Arabidopsis thaliana: one gene and its partner. The protein of the gene in region 1 interacts with the protein of each later gene in a pairwise test. Each region holds a gene or a part of one and is shown on either strand. Other genes may lie near its edges.

Region 1 (7,774 bases):
ACAAACGAAAATTGAGAAGAAGAAACGGATTAAGAGAATCTGAAAAGGCAAAAACGGACCTTTAAGAGAGATCGGATACGATCAGACGCTTAAAAGCATCATAAAAAATATGTGTTGAAAATTTTAGAGCGAAGAAGGAAGAAGAGAATTTGTGTTGTACCTAAAAAGAATTGTGTTTGTGTTCTTCTGGTGATGTTAGGGATTGTCGAGAGAAGAAATGAAAGAAAACGCCGTCGTCGTGTTTGAGGGAAGAGACCAAATTAGAAGAATCGTTGATTGGAGAAGAAGCTCCCTCCCATTATGACCGCGTCAGACCCAATTTCCCCTTCTTACTAAATTTACCACTCTACCCTCCTCCTCTCTGTCCATTCCACTTTTTTTTTGTTTTTTTTCTCACTCTTTATTAGCTATCAATTCGTGTAAATAATAAAAAATCTGTTTTGTTTATTATTAACCGTACTTTCAACAGATTCTTTAGATTTGCGGTACTTTTTTTTTTCTGTCGGCAACTCAAATTCTGCAGTACCATTGTTTATTAAAGAATTGACTTTATTATATACGGTTGAAGACTTTGCCATAGTGTTTAGTTGATGCTCAAAAAAAAAATACTAAAGAGGATTAAAGATTATTGATTTAGGTAAAGACTTAAAACGATTCTATAGTTTAAAAAAGAAAAAAATTTACGAGGTTGTTGCAATAGCAGTTTCCAATTAAAATGGAATTGGAAAAATAAGAATATGATCAGAGCACTGAAGACAAGTAAAAAAGAGCAGCTAAAAAAGTCTTTCGATTATGATCGTCACATCATAGCAGCCATTGCTAAAACTAACCAAAAAACAGAAAAGGTAAATGTTTTTTCTTCAGTTTTCTATTTCCATTGCCAAGTAAGACATCCTTTCCTTGTCTAGACCACCTTTGTCTTATCATCCCATCGCGTACTTCTGTGTCCATTTTTGTGCAGTTGACTCGTATTTTGATTTATCTACCTTGTAGAGATGAGCTATCTCCGGCACAAGAGGATCATTTGGGTTCGGGTCAGTCAGCAGCGAGCAAATCGACAACAAAACCTATATAATTCCACACCATCAATATCACTCGCACAAAGTTCACCAATATACTAGTTTTTTTTTTACAGAACATGACTTTGGTAAAAAATAGTAGTAGAGAGACAAAACTCAAACCTTGGATGTGGTAGGAGCAGGACTCCATTGCTCTTTCAATATGTCAAGGCAAATGCTTCCTTTGCTGTCGATGTTTGGGTGGTACACCTTAGTCTTGAAATTCACCTGCAAAATCGTACACTCGCTAATAAGCCTGATGATCATAGATTTTCATTACACATCAGATGATTAAATTAGTGTTGAAAAAACACAACACCTTTGGTGGCTTGAAAGGATAATCCGAAGAGAAATCAATAGAAACCGTAAATACGCCTCCGGAATACGGACTGTCATGCGGTCCCATGATAGTTGCTTGCCAATGGAATATGTCCTCCTCAGCCACAGGACCTATAAGAAAGACGTTGCAATCAGACCCATTTATTCATCGAAAAAGACAATAAAACCTGCATGATCAAGTGATACTTCTTATAGAACAGAGACAAATTGGCAGAATAAATAAGAAGTACAAAAGGAGACACTTGAAATAAAAGCAAGCTAAACCTCTGGATATTCTTAATCGTACCAGGCAAAGGTTTAACGAGTTTTCTCGAATACAAAAAAAAAAAAAAAAAAGGTTCATGCAGAGTACATATATATAACAGAACCAAAGAGAGTCTAACAAATCATAGCGTTACCAAAAAAAACTCAGAAACATATAATGTGGATTGATGAAATAAAAGTGTGACATATATCAAACCCTAAAAGTGTTTTTAGTGTGAATCTATCAGTCAAAATCAGCCAAGAAAAGGGAGATTACCTGCGCTACAGTTTGCTGGAGGATGTCTCTGCATATCCCTCAGTTCCCTTGAAATCCTCTTAGAAGCCATGCTTTTAGACTCGAAAACCTGCGGACGAGATAAGCAACACACAATGAGTATTAAGGAATTCAACTAAGAACATAACATATCATAGAGGAAGACGAATAAAACAATACATACGTAACGTAAGTGATGATAAACCCTAAGAAGTAGTTGAAACAGAAAACATAAAGGAAAGATGGATCAAAAGAAACATACCACAACAGGAGATTGAATCTTTTTTTCAAGGCCACTACAAAAGAGAGAAGAGATTCGTGAAAAGCCTAAAACCCTCTACTTCTTTTTTATAGTCGGAGAATACAAGTCAGTCTCGAGGCTTCTGATTCTGTCGGCAAGTACCGCCTGACCTATTAGTAGGGACCCATGGCGGATGATATTGGAAAATTGCAACCAAAGATATGTTTATTTTCTAAAACACCTATTCTTGGTTTGGTCTAAAGATATTCTTGGTTTGGTCTATAGATATGATATTTCCTAAAACAGCTATTGTAAACAATATGGAAAATTTCTTAAGTGTTTTATTAGAACCATGTACACTTTTGAAATATATTAAAAAAATTAAGAAAATCAATAATTTAATCATAAATATACCAACTTTGGTATAAGTTAATAGAAGATTAGGAACGAGTTTTGTATTTGGGAGCAATGTATAATCCTAACTATGGAAGGCTCATAGTTGGTTTGGTTTTGGTTGTGGTTGATCCATGTGTAGATTGGAACCCCTTATGTCAAGAGTGTACCAAAACAGTCCAAACATTGCGTTTGGGGCGATTAGAATTGCAGTTTCCTGCAACCAAGTGAGGAGAGGGAAACAAGAGAATAAAAGTAGACCCAACAATCGAAATTAATACTAGTTTATAGTGATCAGAACAGAAGAGGAGTAAGAGCAGCTAAGTTGTTCGATACTTGCTAACGTTTGATAAACCAAACAAGTGCATTTTTTTTAAGTTATTATTTTATTCCGATGCGCAATAACATATCCTTTGCTTTGTCTTATATCATCAACCCATTGCGTACTTTTGTGTCCAGCTTCTCGCAGTTGACTCGTACTTGGATCTATCTGTCTTGTACATGTGAGCTATCTCCGGCACAAGAGGATCATCTGGGTTTGGGTCAGTCAACAGCGAGCAAATCGACAACAGAACCTAATTTCCACAGCATCAATATCGCTCGCGTTAACACACAAAATTGGCTAAGATAGTAACATAATTTGTGTTAAAATGGTAGGAGTAGAGATACACAAACTCGAACCTTAGAGATAGTAAGAGCAGGGCTCCATTGCTCTTTCAAAATATCAAGGCAAATACTTCCATTGCTATTGATGTTTGGATGGTACACCTTAGTCTTAAAAGACACCTGCAAGATCGATGGATTCACATCATAAGATCAATGATAAAAACCGATGAATCATAAAGAGTCTCATAACACAACACATTACCTTTGGTGGCTTGAAAGGATAATCCGGAGGGAAATGAATAGAAACCAAAAACACTCCTCCGGCATACGGACTTTCAGGAGGTCCCATGATAGTGGCTTGCCAATGGAACATGTCCTCAGCCACCGGACCTAAAACAACGTGACAACAAAATTACATCAATAAAGACATATTAGCAGGAGCTACAAAAGGAGACACTTTGACATAAACTCAAAACCATGCAGAGTTCTGGATACTTGTCAAATACAGGACAGGAAAGGGTAAATATGAAGTGCATAACAGACAACAAAATCCATGAGATCAGCGTTAATCAAAGAGTCTAGCAAACCAAAGCTTTTACCAAAAAAAAAATCAGAAGCATAACATGGATTGAGGAAATAAAGTATGATACTTGATACCCTAACCTACATCAATCTAGTGAGAGAGTAAGGAACCTAATTCAGAGTCATTAGTGCCAGGTAAGTAATTGGTTAAAATCAGATTAGAAAAGGGAGATTACCAGCGCTGCAGTTTGAAGGAGGATCCTTCTGCAGATCCTTGAGCTCCTTCAAGATCCTCTTAGAAGCCATGCGTCAGAGACGAGAAAACCTGTGGAAACCCCCAACAAGACCAGAATATTATTGAACAGAGGATATAACTTAAGACAATCAACTTAAGAACAAAACAGATCACAGTGGAAGAACCAGAGACCGAACAAAACAACACAAAACGTAAGTGATCGGAAACCCTATTATTAAGCGGTGGAAACTAATCGCGCAAAACAAAAACAGAGGACGATTCGGGAGAGAAAGAAATTAGGGTTTAACCAAAGAGAAATGGTGGAATTAGACCTGGAAGAAGGACGGACAACACAAAGCGAGAGCTTCTTTATCGGGAGAGAAGAGAATCGAGAATAAAAATGGAGTGCAAAGGAGAAAACGAAACTTGTTACTTTGCCTTTCTTTATAGTCAGAGAATCTAAAACAAGTCAGTCTCGAAGCTTCTGATTCTATCAGCAAGTACCGCCTCACCTATTTCACCTTTTCTATATATTTATTAATTCTCGTGCCAAAAGTTTTTTTATTTCACCAATTAGGACTCATGCAGTCAAAAAATACAGAGCAATGATTTTATTTTTATTTATTTACTCATGTAGTTTATCTTTTTGAGACGATAAATTTCACATATAATTGTATCACTATTTCAGTTAGATTTTCAAACACCCAAAGACTCTTGTGATTTAATTTAAACGAATCATACAACAACAAATGAAAATTCAAAACTAGTCGCACACTTATAACCAATCTAAGAACTACAACCATTCATGGTGAGGGTTTCAATTACACTACAATTCCAGATATTGATTGGAATAAATTATGCAGTCAGACATAGAGAACTAAAATAAACGGTTTATGAAGAAGAAGAAGAAGGAAAAGCAAAAATAAATAATGATTTGAGAATGAGAGAAAGAGAATTTAAAACCAATCTAAACCGGGCTATCAGAGCTTCTGATCATCTCCGGCGAGGAGGCTCTGTTACCAGAACCAGGACCGGACCCTGAAGGTCGAATCTCCTCCATCATGTTAACCACTTCCTCCATTGAAGGCCTAGAATCTGGATGCTTAGACACACATGCCATTGCTATCTGCAACATCTGCACCATTTCTTCCTCTACGTTGTGTTGCTGCTTGATCAGCTCTACGTCAAACACTTCTCCAGTCCACTCCTCTCTCACCACTGATTGCACCCACTTTGGCAGATCCACCACTTCTTCATGCCCAGTAGTCTTCCCTGCTGCTTTCCCAGTCAGCATTTCTAGCAACAGTACACCAAAGCTGTATACGTCGGACTTCTGGGTATGTTTCCGTGTTTCTATGGCCTCGGGTGCTCTGTAACCTAAGCTTCTTGATGGGATCAAGGTGTGATGGCTCATCAATGGAGCTATACCGAAATCAGAGACACAGACATGAAGTTCTTGGGTTAAGAGGACATTTGGTGATTTGATGTTTCCATGGAGGAGTTTAGCACCAGATGCAGAATGGATGTGAGAAATTCCCCTCGCAGCTTCCAAACAGATCCTTAACCTTGTTTCCCAGTCCAACGCTGCTCTTCCTCCCTCATTGTTTCCTGCATAGAATTCATCTAAAGTGTTACTTTAAAGCCACTTTTTATAACCTTGAGTAACATGTAAAACATCATATTACCATGAAGCAGCATGGAGAAATTGCCCCCTTGGTAGTAATCATACACGAGTAGCTTCTCGTCTTTTGAAAAGTAATAGGCACGGAGAGGAGCTACATTCACGTGTGGACTGATCCTTCCCACGGCTTCCATCTGCTGCTCGAACTCCCGTTTCCCAGCTGCTACTTCTTTCAGTCTCTTCACCACCACCGTGGTTCCTTCCTCTAAGATGGCCTTATACGTTGTGCCATAGCTTCCTTTCCCTAAAACTTCAGCCGAGGCTCTGAGCAAGTCCTCAAGATCAAAGTTATATGAACTTCCTTCAAAGAAGACCAGCTTGTTCTTCTCCGCCTCTTGCACCCCACTCCCAAACTCCTCAGCCTTGTTGTCACTCCTCCCGGGTTTAGCTTTTGGCACTGCGGTGCTATCTTGCCCGCCATCTCTTTTCTTGGCACAGCAAAGGGTTATGATGGCAAGAATGATAAACAACAGAACCGAACCTCCAACTGCAATGCCCACAATAGCACCAGTGGAGAGAACTTTTTTGGCGGTACCACGACCTATATTGGTTGTACCAGGACCTTCTGTTGGTGTTGTCGGTGAAGGAGATGGTGCAGTGGTGTTTTCTGGGCATGGAGTCAGAGGAGCACCGCATAGAAGGCTATTACCTTGAAATGAGGATGCTGGGAAGGACTTGACAGAAGATGGAACTGACCCGTTAAGGTTATTGAAGCTCAAATTCAAGTATTTAAGGCGAGGAGGGAGGTTAGGAATTGGACCACTAAGAGAATTGTTTTGCAGGCTGAGATCAGTGAGCTGGGTAAGGTTTTGTAGACTCGTGGGAATGTTTCCCGAGAGCGAGTTGGCGGAGAGATCAAGATTAACGAGGCGATGAGAAAGGACGGGAGGGATAGTACCAGAAAAGTTGTTTTCATGAAAGTATAGTGATCGGATAAAAGGAAGTGAAAGAATGACAGATGGAATGTTCCCTTGAAGGTGGTTGGATCTAAGGCTAATGATCCTGAGGGCATCAAGCTTCTCAAATGTTTTCTCTGGTAAAGGTCCATAAAGTCCAGATCCAGGCAAACGGAGTGCGGTTACACGGGCGTTGTTCTTGGAGCAGGTGATACCAGTCCAAGAGGCACAGATTGGAATAGTGGAGTTCCAGTTGAGTTTGCGACTGTGAGGAACAAGAGATGCAAACTCAAGCAGTGCTTGCTTGTCCGATTCTATGTCTGCAGACAAACAACGGGAAACAAAAGTCGTGACCAAGAGGAAGAGAAACGCCGCAATAATCTTCATCATCAGTCCTTTGTTACACTCTCAGGCTCGCTCACATCAAAGCTTTCTCATTCAACAGCAACTGCAAGAGAACACAAAACACATCATGTAATGATTTATAGCCACATAAAAGCTAAACTCAATATGAGAAATGTATCTATGGATAAAGTAGCCAAGAATGACACCTACACATCACAGGTATCATGAGTAAAAAGATCATCAACACAACGAAAAGCTTCCTTAATAATGACAAAGATACAATAGCGTAATTTCTCAAACCAAAGTGGGAATGCTGATGATAAAGTCCAAAGCAACATTACTCGATTCTCAAATCAAAATATGAAATTATGGAAGCTATATGCACACATTGATTCAATCAGCTGAAATCTGTTTGACTTCAAATAATAAATCTTCACAAAAAAAACAAATCCAATTACGAAAGTAACTAATTTTAGACATAAATGTGTGCACAGATACTTGATTAACCCAGATCTGCAATCTACAAACTAGGGTTTCTCCAGCTAAGCTAAACGGAGTAATTGAAATTGAGAAAGAAGAAATCTTTTAAAGGAATAAACAACGAAGCTAATAAACCCCAAAACAAGAGGGAAAACAGAGATCGAAAGTGAGAGAGACCTTAGAGGTTGATTCAGAGGAGAATGGTTCAGGACATTGGTGAGCTGATCGTAGAAGAAGAAGAAGACAAGTGAGAGAGAGTGGAGAATAAATGCCAAAGGAAATGGGATAGTGGAGAAATCACTTTTTAACAACAACGGCATTTCGTGAAGAAGAAGCTAGAGCTAAAGTCAAAAGCAGAAAAGAGTGAGGAATCTGGAATCGCCATTGATGCAGATTCAGTGACACAACCCCAAGTGATTGAAGATTCAGAAGAGAGAGAGTGGAGATTTTTGAGAAATAAG
Region 2 (7,774 bases), about 16 Mb from region 1:
TTGGATTCTCAAGAGTATCGAAATCAAAGTTGTATATATGTAAATATATAACCTTTTAAATATATTATAAGAGACGAAGAAGAAGAAATGCTCAAAGATTTCAAGACACTAAGACAGGATCAAAGAGAAGACAAATCCATGATGACTGTTGTAAATGATAATAACAAAATTATGAATGTGATCTATTCTTAAATGTACCTAGTTGGATGATTAAATACATTTCTTTCAGTTAGATGTTTAAATTTATTAAGGTGTTGTTGCCTTGTTGGCAAATCAGTCTTAACTTATTTCATATAATATGGACACCAATTTAAATCTGGATATTTGAGATGGGTTAGTTAGTAGTTAAAAGGGTATAATGGCTTGGTTCAACTACTTTCTTCAAAGCATGACGCTTGGTATGATAGTTCGGCCCATATATTAAATTTGATCCAATGTATAGACCCAATAGATTAGCACTCTTGTTTGCATCACTACATTACTCTAACCCACTATCGAATACTACAAAACTTTAACTGATTATTGAATCCTATCGTTTGGGATTAATTTGGTTCCAAAGAAATTCATGTGAGGAGATCACAAATAAATTGTTATCGAGATTTGGCCATTACTCTAACTTATCTAGAGCGACAAATATAATTTATAACTGGAGGTACACTATTTAGATCCTAGATTGTAGGTTTCGAAAATCTTGGGCGTTACAAGCAAAAACTCTTGGTATCATTGAATCCATACGTCATATAGTGTATAATTTATTTACAAATATATAGGTGCCTCATGCATGTGTCTGATATGTACATACTACTATAGACATAGATTTAGGGGGTAGAGCGTCACGACTCACGTGACAGTCCAAAGCTAAAATGGCTAGAAAATCAAACATATAGAATACGCGTAGGAATGCGGTATATACCTTTTTTATTCCTTCGTGCTTCTACTTTTGCATTTATTAAAAGATTGTTTCACACTTCTTTAACGTTAAAATAAATGAGCTAAAGCCTAAAATACTAAAGATAAACATATGCGTAGGCAATGCATTATAGTGTATTCATGTTTACCGATGTCATGGGCTCGATTGGTAACACCGAGAATGACGAAAGCGTAGACAAAAATGGTAGAATAAAATGGCATAAAGTCATAACGACAAAGCAAGAAAAAAACAATTTGATTAGAACTATGTTATTGTTGAATTAGTTTGTTATTTTTCATTAATCTTCCATAATCGACCTACGAATTTTCTTGCCTTTTATTAGTCCCTTCTATATCAGTAAATTCATTTTCTTTAAAACATATGTTTGAATCTGCTATACAATTAACAATGTGATCTCATATATGTTTAGACACAAATTGAACCTTTTCCGCAACGATTTTAAGTTGATACAAGAGTATTTCTATTGTATTAGTTGCAGTCATCATCATTATAAATTGACACAACAAAACCTCATTACCTAAAGTGGCATTATTTCACTGTATTCTCATAGAACTATAGAAGTCAAGTTATTTCTCATAGTTGAACGATATTTGACATCCACAAACTCTCTACCATCAAAAGTTATGAGTGTTACATTGCCAATCCGATATACCATCGAATTAGTGATCAATTCCTATAGTTACCTTTCCTCACATTCTCCAAAATCACGAACTGCTCAGTGCATCATGTCTTTAGAGCCCACTCATCCCCATCAAGTCGAAGAATCTACATGATTAAGTGTCATTAGAGTCAGTTTCTTTATATATTTAGCTCATAAATTAAGAGCTAGTAGTCTCGATCTCCATTACATGTTGCAGCGATTGATATTATACGTAAGTATACAATGCAGACATGCGTAAATCATCTTGTCCCAAACAAGACTTGAATCAGAAATCATACCTACCTCTTTTGAAATGTCGACGTCTACCACTAGACCACCACTTAATTGGTTAGTGTCAGTTCATTCTTTCATAATTTGAAACCTTCTAGCTCAACAAACATAAAACAAGAACAAATTCAACACACGTATTAAAAACTGTTGATCCCAACAACGAAAATACGACACACAGTAGTTGAATTTTCGTCACTTCGTTTTCATGAAATGGTTACGCTTTTATTCGTAGGTCCACCTCTAGTCACCACCACTCACACCAGTCATTAGCACTCGGTCCGTATTACTACTTAGATGATATGTTAAATCAATTTTGTTTTTTGATATAGTTATTGTTATTATATTTTTATAATATCACTATCAATCTCCCATCATCCCAAAGGCTAAAAAAACTTGATTACAAAACAAGTCATATCACATTTAAACACTTGCCGGTCCACTTTAGTATATCATCTTAGTTTGACTAGAAAAAAAAAACGTCATAGACACAAAATTTTTGGTTTTATCATTATCAACAACTCTGAAAATCATTTCATTTGAATCTGCAATTTCATTTCAAAAATGGGTCCAGTAATAAGTAATCAATATATTTTTCAATGAAATAATAAATAAAAATATATGTTTGGACAGCAAACTTTGCAGTTATGGGTCAGTACTCAACTGCAACAAAAAGAACACATGGTCTCTCTTACAGATCTCTATCTCTTTCTCTATCCCCACTCCCATCAATTTCCAAGTTTTATTATTAAATTATCTTGATTTGGTAGAGAGTTTGTTTTGTTAAAAATATGAAAAATTTGAAAACCAAATTAATTAACAAATGAAGGTTGGGTGGGGAAGAGGCAGATGTGGACACGTGGTGGGATATGATTGGGTAAAAGGAACAGTCAAAGGGGGCAAAGAGATTAGACCCGGAGACGATCGACGCTTATAGTCAAAGCAAGACACTGTCACGGTCAAATATTATGTCTAGCTGGCACTTTTGTTTGTGGTCCCCATCTCACTCCTCTCTGTTTTTTTTTTCTTTTCTAATAGTGTGTGATATTTATAAAGTATATTTCTCAAAAAAATATTTATTTTTAAAACTTTTTTATTTTGAAACTGCAATTATGTGAAACAATTTAACCAATTTTTAAATGTTGTTTTTATATAAAAATTCTTATTCGTCAGCAGATTAAATCGATTCAAAAAGTTGTTTGGCAATAAGCTTTTTTAATAGCTATTATAATTTTTTTTGAAGTAATATTATAGGGAAATATCCGTTTGGGTTAGAATTTAATATAATAAATCTAAAATATAGGTTTAGATTTAATTGGGTTCGAATATATTCGGGTAAATACTTGAATTTTCGGATAAAATTTTGGGTTTAAGGTAAAATTTATATTTTCGAATAAAAATATTTGAGTATTTTTGGATTGTGGTTGGATTCGATTTTTTTAGTTTAGGAATTTAGAATTCAATATAATAAATCTTTCGATTCGGATTCGGTTTTAGATCCAATTATTTGGGTCGGTTTCGGTTCGGGTAATCGGTTTCGGTTTTTTTTTTCAGTTTTAATTTTTTTTATATACTAAAAAGAGGTGAAGGAAGGTATTGGTATAACAAACAAAAAATCAAGAGTTGTTCCTTTGGAATTAATAACGATGATAAGATTGAAATTAAAAAAGTAATTAAGAAATTAAACATAGAAATTATCGTCACACGTGCCCCGACCTGTACGGGTTACTCTTCCCCGTGGGTGTTTGGAGTTTAGTGCAAACTTCTCAGCTTTTTTGACTACGTTGCCGGATTTTCTTTACTCTTTCATTTTTACCACTTTACCCTCATTTTTGTTTATCCTTCAACATTTTTTTTGTTTTTTTAACAAAATCCTTAACCTTAACAAACATCTTTTTAACATAAATGGGAAAAGTATTTATCCTTAGTTAGCGTGGATATTAAGAAAAAAAAAGCTAAAAGAAAATTTAGAATTTCACTGTTGTCTTTTTTTGACTAATTAAAGGATATTCCCAATTTTAAATCCAAAATATTATCAGAAAAAACTAAAACTATTCATTCACATACCAAAGTGTTTATTCCACACTTTATTGGAAGGAACAATTACATCTCCTGTATAATTTGACTGAAATAATGTGTTTAAAATTACTAATTCTTTATTATTGGGAGAATTTTCTTGGTTGCCTAATTAATTACGTTTTAAAACTATAAAAGGTAGGGACAAAATTGGAAATCAAAATTATTAAGCTGAGTTTTTCAATGGTAATTAAAAAAGAGAGTTGTATTATAATAAAACCGGGAGGTGAGGGCATGTCACATGTGGTGTAGCTTGCACGTGTGGTACGCGAGTCGAGAGGACTAAATGACCGGCTATAACCAGTGAATTCACCGGTCACCTTATCTTTAATTTTTTTAGATTTTCCACCCGAATCTTTCAACAAATCTTTAATCTCTCCCCTTTTTTCTCCTTTTTATTTTATTCACCCCATTTTTTTTTCCTCTCAAAGAAACAAAAACAAAACAATCACTCACACTACCTCAGAAGAAGGTAAGAGAGAAACAAACAAACAAAAGAGAGAGTACGGGTTTCTTCTTCGTCATTCTCACGAATTCGTGAATTTATTTTTGATTTCGTCATCTGGGTTTTCTCAAATTCTCTTCCTTTTTTATCTTTTGAGATTTTCTGGTATTGAAAGTTCAAACCTTTGTACTGGGTTCGTTGATTTTTTTTTGGTTTCCTTCTCATTATTCTTCATGATTCCTCCTTTTTTCTGTTTCTCGAAATTTGTGGTTATAAAATTCACATTTTTTTTGGGAGCAGTTGGGTTTCAATCATGTGTTTATGATGTTATATTATTAACAAGAGTTGAATGAATCTTCTTTTTGACCGTTGAAAAGAGAAAAACTAAATTAAAGCAAAGAGGAAAAAGAAGAAGAAGAAGATTGTGTTGTTGTTGTTGTTTTAACGCTTCTTTCTGAGATAAAGACATGCGTTTCTTTTTCAGCTCACATTATTTTCCCAAATGTTGTGAGTTTGAGAAGAAAAGTCTGTTTTTTTATTGAGATTTTTTTGTTTCTATAGATTCTATCGAAATGCCGATGTTTCAGCCGTTAAAGAGAGATGGGTTAATAGGATTTGAAGGTGGTGGTGATGGGCAAGTCTTAGATCTGGATACTGCAGTGAAAGATGGAGTTCTCGGTGGTGTTAATGGTGGTGGTGTTGGAGTTGTTGATGAGAAATTGGATCTGAAGAAGATGATAAAGGAGCTAGATTTACAAGATATACCTTCTGTTTTCATTTGTCCTATCTCCTTAGAGCCGATGCAAGATCCTGTGACTTTGTGTACTGGTCAAACCTATGAAAGGTTAAACATTCACAAATGGTTTAACCTAGGTCACTTGACTTGTCCTACTACAATGCAAGAGCTTTGGGATGATACGGTAACTCCTAATAAAACTCTTCATCATTTGATCTATACTTGGTTCTCTCAGAAGTATGTGTTGATGAAGAAACGTTCTGAGGATGTTCAAGGACGAGCTATTGAGATTTTGGGGACTTTGAAGAAAGCTAAAGGTCAAGCTAGGGTTCATGCTTTGAGTGAGCTTAAACAGATTGTTATTGCTCATCTTATGGCGAGGAAGACTGTTGTTGAAGAAGGTGGTGTCTCTGTGATCTCTTCTCTTTTGGGTCCTTTTACTTCTCATGCTGTTGGATCTGAGGTTGTTGCTATTCTTGTGAGTCTTGATCTTGATTCTGATTCGAAATCCGGCTTGATGCAACCAGCTAAGGTTTCTTTGATTGTTGATATGTTGAATGATGGATCTAATGAGACTAAGATCAATTGTGCTAGATTGATTAGAGGATTGGTGGAAGAGAAAGGGTTTAGAGCAGAGCTTGTTTCAAGTCATAGTTTGCTTGTTGGGTTAATGAGATTGGTTAAGGATAAGAGACATAGAAATGGAGTATCTCCTGCACTTCGGTTGCTTAAACCGATTTCGGTTCATAAACAAGTTCGAAGCTTGATGGTTAGCATTGGAGCAGTGCCTCAATTAGTTGATATCTTACCGTCTTTAGACCCGGAATGTTTGGAGTTAGCTCTGTTTGTTCTTGATGCTTTGTGTACAGACGTGGAAGGAAGAGTTGCTGTCAAAGACTCTGCAAACACAATACCTTATACAGTTAGGGTGCTGATGAGGGTGTCTGAGAATTGCACTAACTACGCGCTGTCGATTCTTTGGTCTGTCTGCAAATTAGCTCCAGAAGAATGTTCACCACTTGCTGTTGAGGTTGGTCTTGCTGCAAAGCTGTTACTCGTGATCCAGAGCGGGTGTGATGCAGCGTTGAAGCAGCGGTCAGCAGAGCTACTTAAGCTTTGTAGTCTACATTATTCAGACACCATGTTTATTTCCAAATGCAAACTCACAAGGACAATCCAATAGCATTGGCACTGATTGATCACAGGATTCAGCGGGTTATCCATGAAACGGTAAATGTGCATTGCATTACGAATCTGCCTTTGCCCTGATGTATATATAGATGATGAGTTTGAAGATTGAGCTATTGGTTTTGGTGGTAACAATTCAAAGGAAGAGGCAATCAGCTGATGGAAACATGGGGAAGACGAAGAAACCGGGTGGTTGAGGGATCGGTATGTAATGTTACCATATTGGTTCGTTTTGCAATAAGCATTGGGAATTAGAAAAAAACTGTGTAAAGTTACCGCCTCTGGCTCAAATCAATTTCAGAAGAACAAAGAAAAAGAAGAATTTGAAGAAAGGAACCATATTAAGTTAAACCTCTCTACTTTGGGTTCTTGTGAGAGGTTGTTTTGCTTTTTGACCATTCACAACAGAGAAAAAAAAAAAAAAAAAAAAGCAAAATCTTTGACCCTGAACTTGTAGAAGCCTCTTTTAAGCTTTTGAATCTTTTTTTCTTCATTCAATGTTTTCTTTTAGCTTTACTTAGATTAGGAATTAGACAATTGTCATGATTTCATCTTTGTTCTCAGCCTCCTTATTGTCTTCAACGAAGTAAATATCAAAAACGTGATTCTTGAAAAATCAATCACTGTTATTGCATAGAGTGACATCTCAAAGTACAGTATGATGTGAATTTTGATTCTTGTCTAATAAGTAGAGCACATAAGTTGTGGTGGAGACCAAAAGTCTCCATACATTGTTCTGAACTACTACTGTTGTAATGAACAATTGAAAAGAAATGTGAGATTTGACAAGTGAATCATTCAACAATTTCTACTGTTTTTTAACACAAAAATAAACATAGGCTTATTTTACTTGTCCTGTTTTTGGAAATGAGTCTGAGCAAATCTCTGTTTTGAGTGGGTTTGTGTATAACACAGTGTGATGTGAGAGTTTTTGTCTTGACATATAAAACTCTGTAACAGAGAATAACAGTAACCAAACCTATAGATGGGCTAGATATTGTACCTTATGGGCTTTAGCTACTAAGCCCATTTGCATAATTAAACAACGACGTTTCTTAAATTGAATGGTGTCCCGCATACCCTAGCCCCTAGATGGGCTGGACTTTCAATCTTATGGGCTATTTTTACGTAGCTCATTAACTAATCCAGCGACGACGTTTCGTAAGGTTGAATATTTAGCGTCAATGGTGTCTCGTTAAAGGTCGCGGATTAAGAGAGAGATACTCGAGAGACTTGTGAGAGATCCCCAAAAAAATGGCATGGCTTGCTAGATCCATTGCGAATTCTCTGAAGATCGATGAGGAAGAATATGATCAAAAGGAAACGATTAAGACCAATTCGATTGAAAATTCCGGCTCAGATCAACCGTCTTCGCCATCGGTGTTGCAAACACAGTCTCCACGAGGCGTGAAGGAAGACATCTCTGAACTCACCAAGACCTTAAGAAGTCAGCTATGGGGCGTTGCTTCT

What was found.
Region 2: the proteins of UBC11 (region 1) and AT3G49810 interact in a two-hybrid assay, tested with the Arabidopsis thaliana proteins (one large-scale study listed by BioGRID).

What each region holds. Positions count from the first base shown.
Region 1 is NC_003074.8:2,637,695-2,645,468, reverse strand, and holds UBC11 (ubiquitin-conjugating enzyme 11), read right to left. Parts: upstream 4,458-7,774; 5' UTR 4,244-4,457; exon of another isoform or gene 4,104-4,243; intron 4,002-4,103; 5' UTR 3,983-4,001; coding exon 3,913-3,982; intron 3,545-3,912; coding exon 3,417-3,544; intron 3,335-3,416; coding exon 3,230-3,334; intron 3,124-3,229; coding exon 2,980-3,123; 3' UTR 2,550-2,979; downstream 1-2,549. Other genes in the region: UBC12 (ubiquitin-conjugating enzyme 12), read right to left, coding at 924-1,067, 1,182-1,286, 1,378-1,508, 1,918-1,987; AT3G08680 (Leucine-rich repeat protein kinase family protein), read right to left, coding at 4,879-5,519, 5,597-6,878. UniProt on the Arabidopsis thaliana protein: Accepts the ubiquitin from the E1 complex and catalyzes its covalent attachment to other proteins. Mediates the selective degradation of short-lived and abnormal proteins.
Region 2 is NC_003074.8:18,473,461-18,481,234, reverse strand, and holds AT3G49810 (ARM repeat superfamily protein), read left to right. Parts: upstream 1-4,202; 5' UTR 4,203-4,952; coding exon 4,953-6,299; 3' UTR 6,300-6,930; downstream 6,931-7,774. Other genes in the region: AT3G49800 (BSD domain-containing protein), read left to right, coding at 7,559-7,774. UniProt on the Arabidopsis thaliana protein: Functions as an E3 ubiquitin ligase.